Nothobranchius furzeri: one gene and its partner. The protein of the gene in region 1 interacts with the protein of each later gene in a pairwise test. Links are inferred from orthologs where the notes say so. Each region holds a gene or a part of one and is shown in the gene's direction. Other genes may lie near its edges.

The links.
Region 2: the proteins of aagab (region 1) and ap2s1 interact in binary tests that used the Homo sapiens proteins (3 or more experiments, as listed by UniProt). The link is inferred for Nothobranchius furzeri from reciprocal best matches to the Homo sapiens genes AAGAB and AP2S1.

The regions. Positions count from the first base shown.
Region 1 is NC_091744.1:65,858,262-65,862,378, forward strand, and holds aagab (alpha- and gamma-adaptin-binding protein p34), read left to right. Parts: upstream 1-1,393; 5' UTR 1,394-1,431; coding exon 1,432-1,534; intron 1,535-1,671; coding exon 1,672-1,862; intron 1,863-1,943; coding exon 1,944-2,040; intron 2,041-2,125; coding exon 2,126-2,215; intron 2,216-2,322; coding exon 2,323-2,406; intron 2,407-2,505; coding exon 2,506-2,585; intron 2,586-2,751; coding exon 2,752-2,848; intron 2,849-2,930; coding exon 2,931-3,035; intron 3,036-3,135; coding exon 3,136-3,185; intron 3,186-3,257; coding exon 3,258-3,341; 3' UTR 3,342-3,523; downstream 3,524-4,117. Other genes in the region: iqch (IQ motif-containing protein H), read right to left, coding at 210-282, 360-448, 797-847. UniProt on the Homo sapiens protein: May be involved in endocytic recycling of growth factor receptors such as EGFR.
Region 2 is NC_091753.1:41,293,679-41,298,016, forward strand, and holds the start of ap2s1 (AP-2 complex subunit sigma), read left to right. Parts: upstream 1-1,285; 5' UTR 1,286-1,435; coding exon 1,436-1,438; intron 1,439-1,853; coding exon 1,854-2,003; intron 2,004-2,433; coding exon 2,434-2,547; intron 2,548-3,746; coding exon 3,747-3,806; intron 3,807-3,994; coding exon 3,995-4,096; 3' UTR 4,097-4,338. UniProt on the Homo sapiens protein: Component of the adaptor protein complex 2 (AP-2). Adaptor protein complexes function in protein transport via transport vesicles in different membrane traffic pathways.

The DNA.
Region 1 (4,117 bases):
TTTTCATCTATTAAGGTAGCGCAACTCGTGTTGCGAATGACCACAGTCACCAATTCTTGTCATGTGTCTTGCCCATGTATGTCTGATCTCTGAATTGTGTGTAATGAAACTCTAATTTCCCTCTGGGATTAATAAAGTTTTGATTGATTGATTGATTGATTGATTGATTGATTGATTGATTGATTGATTGATAAAAAAGAAAATCCTACCTTTTTTCCAGGTAATGCTCCTGGAATCTTCTTCCTTTGGGGATGCACTTCAAAGAAATTTTCAAGAGGATTCCTGCATGAAGTTGATTCACAAACTTCATGATAAAAATGTATGACACTATAAACACAACTCAGTCATTCATCACTTACCAAATAGGTATTGTATGTTTTTGTTCATCTTCAATGGGTGGAAGTACTAGTGGCTGCTTGTTCACTGTTTTCAGATAATCCTCAGCATGCTTTATTTACACAGAAACACGTGTTAAATGCATGGGCTTGAATGCCCAATGTTTTGCCTCATCACTGACAATATTATTTGAATTTAGTCAAGTTAAAATTAACCTTTATTACAAAATATAAAAGTTTAATGGGAGACTGGAGACTGATAACACTAATTCAATTTCTAAGCAAATTTACTTTATTGTTATTATTTTAACACAACAATATATATAAAAACATTTTTAAAGGTTTTTAGTGATAAAGGTGCTATGTTCGTCCAAACAAGTACTTTGCCTTAAAGTTTTACGATAACTTCCAATGAGTTGAAAACCTAAATTAGCAAAAAATAAAGAATGACATGGACCTACCTTAAATGTATCAGCACCCAATTTATCTTTGTTCTCGTGTGTGTCAGACATTCTCCAGAGAAGGTCTGACAACTGAAATTTACACTTATATCATAAATACAAGAGTTTATGAAGTTTAACCAGCGTCTGTGCTAAGCTACTGAAACCAGTGCTTGTAACCATGACTACAGCTACAGTGGGCTTTTTCATCCACAGGCTGACTGTGAGGTTCACAGCTATCTGCCCTCCAAAAATAATAACAATAATAATAATAATAATCTAAAACAGTCTTAAGTCCTATAAGAAAGGAATATCATATATTTTACCATCTCGTAAGGTAATCCAACAAATGTTCATTATGGTCTTCCTATTACAAAATATATACATATATTTTTTGCAGTCTGCCCTAACAGACATAGAAAGGGCTAAATTTCACACTCAGGTCATCTAAGATTTTAGTTTTTTTTGTACAATTTACTATATAAACAATCAGTGTCAACACAGCTTCAATAATTTGATGTAATTTAATTACGGACTTTTTTTTGTGATTTTTTTTTACTTGTCGAATTAACGTTTCACCAGAAGCGGAATTTGCGTCAGAGTTGAAAGGTCGCCTACGTTGCTACACCGGAAACTAGCAGCTCAGAAACAAGCAAATGTCAGAAATGTCAGCAACAGAAGAAAACATAGAAATGACTCTTCCGTGTGTGCTTGTCACTAGTTGTGACAGTGAATTTAAAGAAGAAGAGCTGATTAAACGTAAGTTATTTAAGACATAACGTGTACCATGTAGCAAGTAAGCTAAACGTAGCTAGCACAGCAGGTATTTAGAGGTGCTTTGTGTGGTTGCAGCTTTGCTTAATGTAACATACCGTGTGCTATTTTCACCCCCTCAGAAATCCTTGGTTCAGAGACTTTGCCTCAGCCATCCGTACAAGACGAAACGGTCTCCTGGTATCCTTGGACCATCAACAACAAATATTATACAGCTGATGTCCGATTGTGTGCTGTACCTAGCATTTATGACATGTCATCTGAGATTGCCCAGTCTATGCAGGCTTTTATTGCTTACTTTGACAGTAAAACGGTTTGTACCCCATGAATCACGTTATAATAAAATGATATAATCTGAGTTTTTATTTCCATCACGTTTGGTTGATGTTTACAGAAAGATGGGCTGGAAAAGTTGAAGCCTTGGATTTCAGTGGTGGAAGATCTTGCTCCAGAAGTGCTCATTCTGGTTTGTGACAGAGTTTGTGAAAACGGTTAGTAAATAGTGTCCATCAGTTAGCAGGAAAAACAGTAATACAATTTGCACATCATTGCTACATTAAGTGTGTGTTTTTTAAGGTGTTACAAGACATCAAGCACAACAATGGTGTTTAGCTCATGCTTTTGAGCTTGTGGAGCTCAATCCACAGGAGCTTCCAGATGAGGATGGTGAGTTCAACTTGCAGAAGAAATTACAATCATAGTTATCTTTAACAAATACTCAGTTTGGTTTGTTTATTTATTCAATCAATCATTATTTCTTTTGTAATTTTTAGATGACTTTCCAGAATCCACAGGAGTGAAGAGAGTTGTTCAGGCGCTTAATGCCAACGTGTGGTCCAGTGTGGAGATGAAGGATGGTGAATTGATGAATTGATATTAGCTGCATATTTTGTAGACTTGTATAATTTTTTTGTGTGTATATATTATTCATGTGACTTTTTTTTTATTTCCAACAGGGCACAATCAGGGTTTTGGTTTAATGAGCAGTTTAGTGGCTTCCAGACATAACAACCCACGTTACTGCCAGGATCCAGCAGTGAGTAGATTTTTATTGTAAACATTTTCATTTTTGTGCCAATATGTAATATTCCTTGTTTTTACATCCAAAATAATTTGGTTTGAATACAATTTTTATTGAAAAATTAATTTTAAATCAATAAAGCCGTTTTTAAGGTCTGTTATTAATGCTGGTTCTGTGACAGTCCTCCAGCATACCAGCAGAGAGCACAGTCATCAATGAAGAGGTCAACCAGAGAGAAAACAGCTCAAGCACAGAATCGCAGGAGGATTCAGTAGTGGGCACGTTTTTCCCCTTTGTTTTTTATTCATGCAATTTCCAACCAAACCCTTCTGTTGACGTAAGCTGTGTTGATCCTTGCAGATGCCATGACTGATTTAGACATTCAGGAGCTTGCCCATCTCACAGCTGGAGATGCAGATGTGGATAATTTTGAACGTCTCTTTACAAAATTAAAGGAGATGAAAGGTAAACAAGAAAATAAGTTTACAATGTGAAGTTAATATTTTTTTTTGTGGCATGAAGGTCGAGTATTTGCATTAAAGGTCATATATTTTTTCCCCTTTAGATAAAGCTTGTTCATTACCTCATGAGCAGAGAAAAGTTCATGCAGAAAAGGTTTGTAGGTTAGTTTATTTCAACACAAACGAGAAGCTTGTATGGAATATTGACAATAAATTAAATTTTCAGGTGGCTAAAGCATTCTGGACAGCCATTGGTGGTGATGGCGATGAGATAGATGGGTTATCATCAGGTGAGGAGAGTCAAAGCTAATCAGCTGGGAATCCTTCTCCCTCCTGCTGACCCTCCCACCAGTCCTGGAGCTCACAAAAGCATCACTGCCCCAAGACGTCCTGATCACACCCTCGAAAGTGGAGATGCTTACAGGTGAAACTGTAGGCATAGTTGAATTTAGAAACTTTTGATTCTGAAATAAATTGTGTTCTTAAAAAAAATGATGGAAGTCCTGTTTGGAGAAGAAACCACAAGTGTTCCAGATCAGTGAGTTATTTCAAAGTTTTTAACTCAAGTGAGCCTTGGTGCTGCAGGTGGAAAACTACTAACGTGGACTTTGATTTCTTCTTTGATTTCATCTTTAGGTATTGTTGACAGGTGTCTTGTTACAAATGTGCCTTATCCCCACAAAGGCTGTAAAAGATGTACAGTCAGGTCCATAAATATTGGGACATCGACACAATGCTAACATTTTTGGCTCTATACACCACCACAATGGATATCAAATAAAACAAACAAGATGCGCTTTAACTGCAGACTGTCAGCTTTTATTTAAAGGTATTTACATCCAAATCAGGTGAACGGTGCAGGAATTACAACAGTTTGCATATGTGCCTCCCTCTTGTTAAGGGACCAAAAGTAATGGGACAGAATAAGAACCATAAATCAAACTTATACATTTCAATACCTGGTTGCAAATCCTTTGCAGTCAATTACAGCCTGAAGTCTGGAACACAGACATCACCAGACGTTGGGTTTCATCCCTGGTGATGCTCCGCCAGGCCTCTACTGCAACAGTCTTCAGTTCCTGCTTG
Region 2 (4,338 bases), on another chromosome or scaffold:
GTCCCTTTATCCCAGCTTTGATCTTTTTTCATTATTATTATTATTTATTTTTCCGGGCCTTTTTTACTACCTCGTCCCTCTCCTTGAGTAATGAAATGCATCGCTGTTGAAATTATTTTCTTGCGAAACATTACCGCAGTGTTATAAATCTAAGCACGACTAAAGTCAGTCAAAGCTCACAAGCATTACAGAGGGGATAAAAACAATTTCCCTTTGTTTACACGCTTTCCCTTTTTCTTCTATTCTTTTACGTTTGCACCATTTGCAGCTGAGATATCTCTGGGTCCCAAGGGCAGGCGCATTCCTTTACACAAGAGTTGTGCAATCCCCCCCCCCCCCCCACCCCCACCCCCCCAACCTACACCTCCTCCCATCAGACTCCCTAAATGCCCAGAGCGCTCAGATCCAAGCTGTCTAAACTGTCTGTGCAGTGGCCTGTGGTGGACTGCCCAGCCAGACCCGTAAACAAATGCTAAGCCTTGATAATGCAGGAATAAAACACAAACAACTTCACAATTGTGCAGAAATGTGTGACTATATATAGATTTTTTCAGTAACCTGTAACACCTGAGACAAATTATGTATGACAAACTAATTTACAAAGGGAACATAGCCGTAGTTTTATATGATCTGTCCTTCATGTTTGTGCACTAAATCTTTCCATATAGTGCAGCATAATAGTAAAACTACAATAGCTAAGTAATTTTTCATTACCAAAATTCATATGAAATATAAAACTTTTTCAGGAATTTTTTGGCTTTTTTTTTGCCTTTTTTGACAAAAGTTTTGACTATTTATGACATTTAATCAGCTGCAATCTGTTCTTGCAATTCTTTCCATGGAAATTGCATTTCTTGCTGAAAAATATTATCATAAAAATAATGCATACATCTTAGGTTTCACAACTGAGATTGTTTTATAAAACACTTATGTTTAAATTAACTAAACGCTAACTAGTATGCTTGAATAGAATTGTGGTGGGTTGCATGAAAGCCTCTGAAATAGTTGAAATTTATTTTATTTTATTTTATTTTTTTACTAGGAACTAAATGATTGAATATCACGAACCTGTAACGCTCAAAAAATTATGTGTTAAACTGGCTTGACATATATGTTAAACTGGCTTGACATACATTAATTTGTGAAGGTTTTTCTCATGTGATCCAAAAACGCAACGAAACTCGATACGTCAATCGGGACCGCTGGTTGTTGTAGTTTCTCGTGGATTACATTGACTTGGCAGAAAAGCAGCGATGACTACGTTTCCCAGAATGCAACATAACTCGGCGTAGTTTTGCACATCCTGTTAGCTTGAGAGGATAGCGGACGAACGGGCGGAAAAAAGAGATACCGATGTTTTAATATAAAAGTGGTGCATTATTGCTCATGAACGTAATATTCTGGAGTGCCCAAGAAGCATATTAGGAAGACGAAAATGGTAAAGTTATTCAATTATTCAAGTTAATCTTTTTTTTTATTAGCCGTCAGGTTATGTTAGCGTTTAGAACTCGACAGATAAGCACTCCATTCAGTCTAGAAAACTATACTGGTGGTTAAATTGAGGGTTTAACCACAGAAAACCTCCACTTTAGCCTATGTAGATAGCATGGTGAAATTCAAGAATGTCGAAGTGTACGCATTATGTTAAAAGCTAGGTGTGGTTTAATAGTGCTACCTTTTACACCAGCCAAGCTAACGGTCAGTAATAGCTTCAGTTACTTTCACATCTCAGTAAGCTGGAGTTCCATAGCTGCCAATCTATGGTACATATTATTCCAGTGTGTTAATCATTTGTGTGGGTGGGTTTTGTTGCAGATTATTTTGTTTGATCTAATCCGTTTTCTATCCCAAAGATCCGCTTTATCCTCATCCAGAACCGAGCAGGGAAGACACGATTGGCTAAATGGTACATGCAGTTCGATGATGACGAAAAGCAGAAACTGATCGAAGAAGTGCATGCTGTGGTTACAGTCAGGGATGCCAAGCACACCAACTTTGTGGAGGTATGGGATTGTATAAATGCTTTAATGTGTGGCTGTTTTTGCAGACTGCATAGACATTAAAAAGTTAAGATTTCTAATTTTAAGTATAGCTCAATACTCTTGAAAGAGAGGCTGAAATGCAATTGGATTGTAATGTTTCATATATGGATGTTGATCAATATCTGCAGGAAAATAACATTCAAAAGAACATATTTTCTATTTATTGAACTTGGTCTGTATGTGAAGATAACGCCTTAAATACACCCTTGGGTGACTTATCATTTTTAACAAATACAGTATAATAGAAGAGGTTCCCACCTGTTTATTTTTTGCTTGTAGTAGACTTAAATATAATTATTGGTATACAAAGCCTTGAGTCTCTCAGCTCTGCTGAAACTTCTGTTACACAAATCTAAATTTCTAATTGGATTTCACCATTTTGTCCTCACAGTTCAGGAACTTCAAGATCATTTACCGACGTTATGCAGGCCTGTACTTCTGTATTTGTGTGGATGTGACTGATAACAACCTGGCATACCTCGAGGCGATCCACAACTTTGTTGAGGTAAACAATGAACACACACAAACATCCATCCATCATTTATTTATGAAGCACATTTAAAAACACAGCATTTCAGCTGTCCAGAGTGCTGTACAGGAGGTCCAAAGGCCAAAAAACAGTGGTGGGCTACTCTACAAAATAGATGAGAGAGGAGGGAAAGTATAACAAGTTGGAAGTAAAAAGAGCCCAAACTGTACAAATTGTAGAAAAAGAAAACAAGAACCTAGCAGTAGCTAATACACTTAAAATGAAATCAGTGGACATATGAACAAAACAATAACCTTATTTCGAGATAAAACACACACATGACCTGTGCTTGTCATGGTCTGGTGGGGTTTAGGAGTGTTTCTTTGTGGCTGTGATTTGTTACCTTGCAGTTCTTGAATGCCAAACTGGCTGCATTTTTGTGTGGATTAAAAACTAACATATAGTGGTTAAAAATGATCGTCATTCAGTTATGAAGGCATGGAAAGCATTCATAATAAATGTGTGATTTGGCAATTAAATGTTCACCTTATATAACATCTGTCTGGTGCAGAATGTGTCAGGAGAAAATAATTGAATTTATTTAAAATTATTTAACCTCTATTTCAGCACCGGTTTGAAACACTTAAGCATCAAATACAATTAAAGTTTTTATTTTTATATTTTGATGATTGAATGTTTTGGCTTCGAGTCTGAAACAGAAATGAGGTAAAATTTCACTATTCTGTTTTAGCAGCAGTGTTTTCAGTCTGATCTTTGTGCTTTTACAATAATAATTTTGCACAAGTGAAGCTGACGGTATCCACCTAAACTACTTTTGAAGCCTTTCTCTGAAATGGACCACCTCAGGGATTATTGAGCGGTTTATTTTTTGTTTTTGCATAGAACTGTTAAAAAACTAGGACAAAATGGTTAAATTTGTTGTTATGCTGCAGCCTTTCTGCCATTTCTCACACAATGGAAAGCAAATGGGCAGCTGTGGAAGCCAGAATAAAGTAGAAGAAAATCAATAGTAGACAATAGCTGTCCTTGTTACCGTTAGCCAACAGCTAAACCAAATCCTGAACAACAGGTTTAAAATGTTGTTTTATTTAAAGTGAATTTGGTATTTTCTGTTCTGCAGTCGCATTTCACTCGTAGGAATTGTCGGTAATTGTCGTACACACTTTGGTTGTGTAGCTTAAAATGTACATTTTTCTGTTTCTCTTTGCTGGAAGGTGCTGAATGAATATTTTCACAATGTGTGCGAACTGGATCTTGTGTTCAACTTCTACAAGGTGAGAACACACAGAGGGATTATTTTTCAGATTTGACACAATCTCTGATAGAAAGACATTACATGTATTTTTAATTGTATTATTTTGATGACAAAGAGGGGGAGTTGGGTCATGTTCGCATGCAGTTGATGGTATTTGTGCTCAGATCAGTATTTGTCCTCTCATCTGTTTTGTGCGTCTGTCTCAAGGTGTACACGGTGGTGGACGAGATGTTCCTGGCAGGAGAGATCAGGGAGACCAGTCAGACCAAGGTTCTCAAGCAGCTCCTCATGCTCCAGTCTCTTGAGTGAAAATGTGTCCTTCCTGTGCTTTTTATCTTCTGCCCAACCCGACCTTCACCATGTCCCTATCACTCTGGAAGAACCACACCATTCTCCATGCCCCTGCAGAGCCAGCTCTCATCTTCAAGACAAGGAGGGAGGGGGTTGTTTTGAATAAAAATACACAATATTGTTTACGTATGGATATGAGTTCAGCTGTTTGCCATAGCAGCCCATATGTTGCATTATTCTGATAAACTGCTATAGATGTC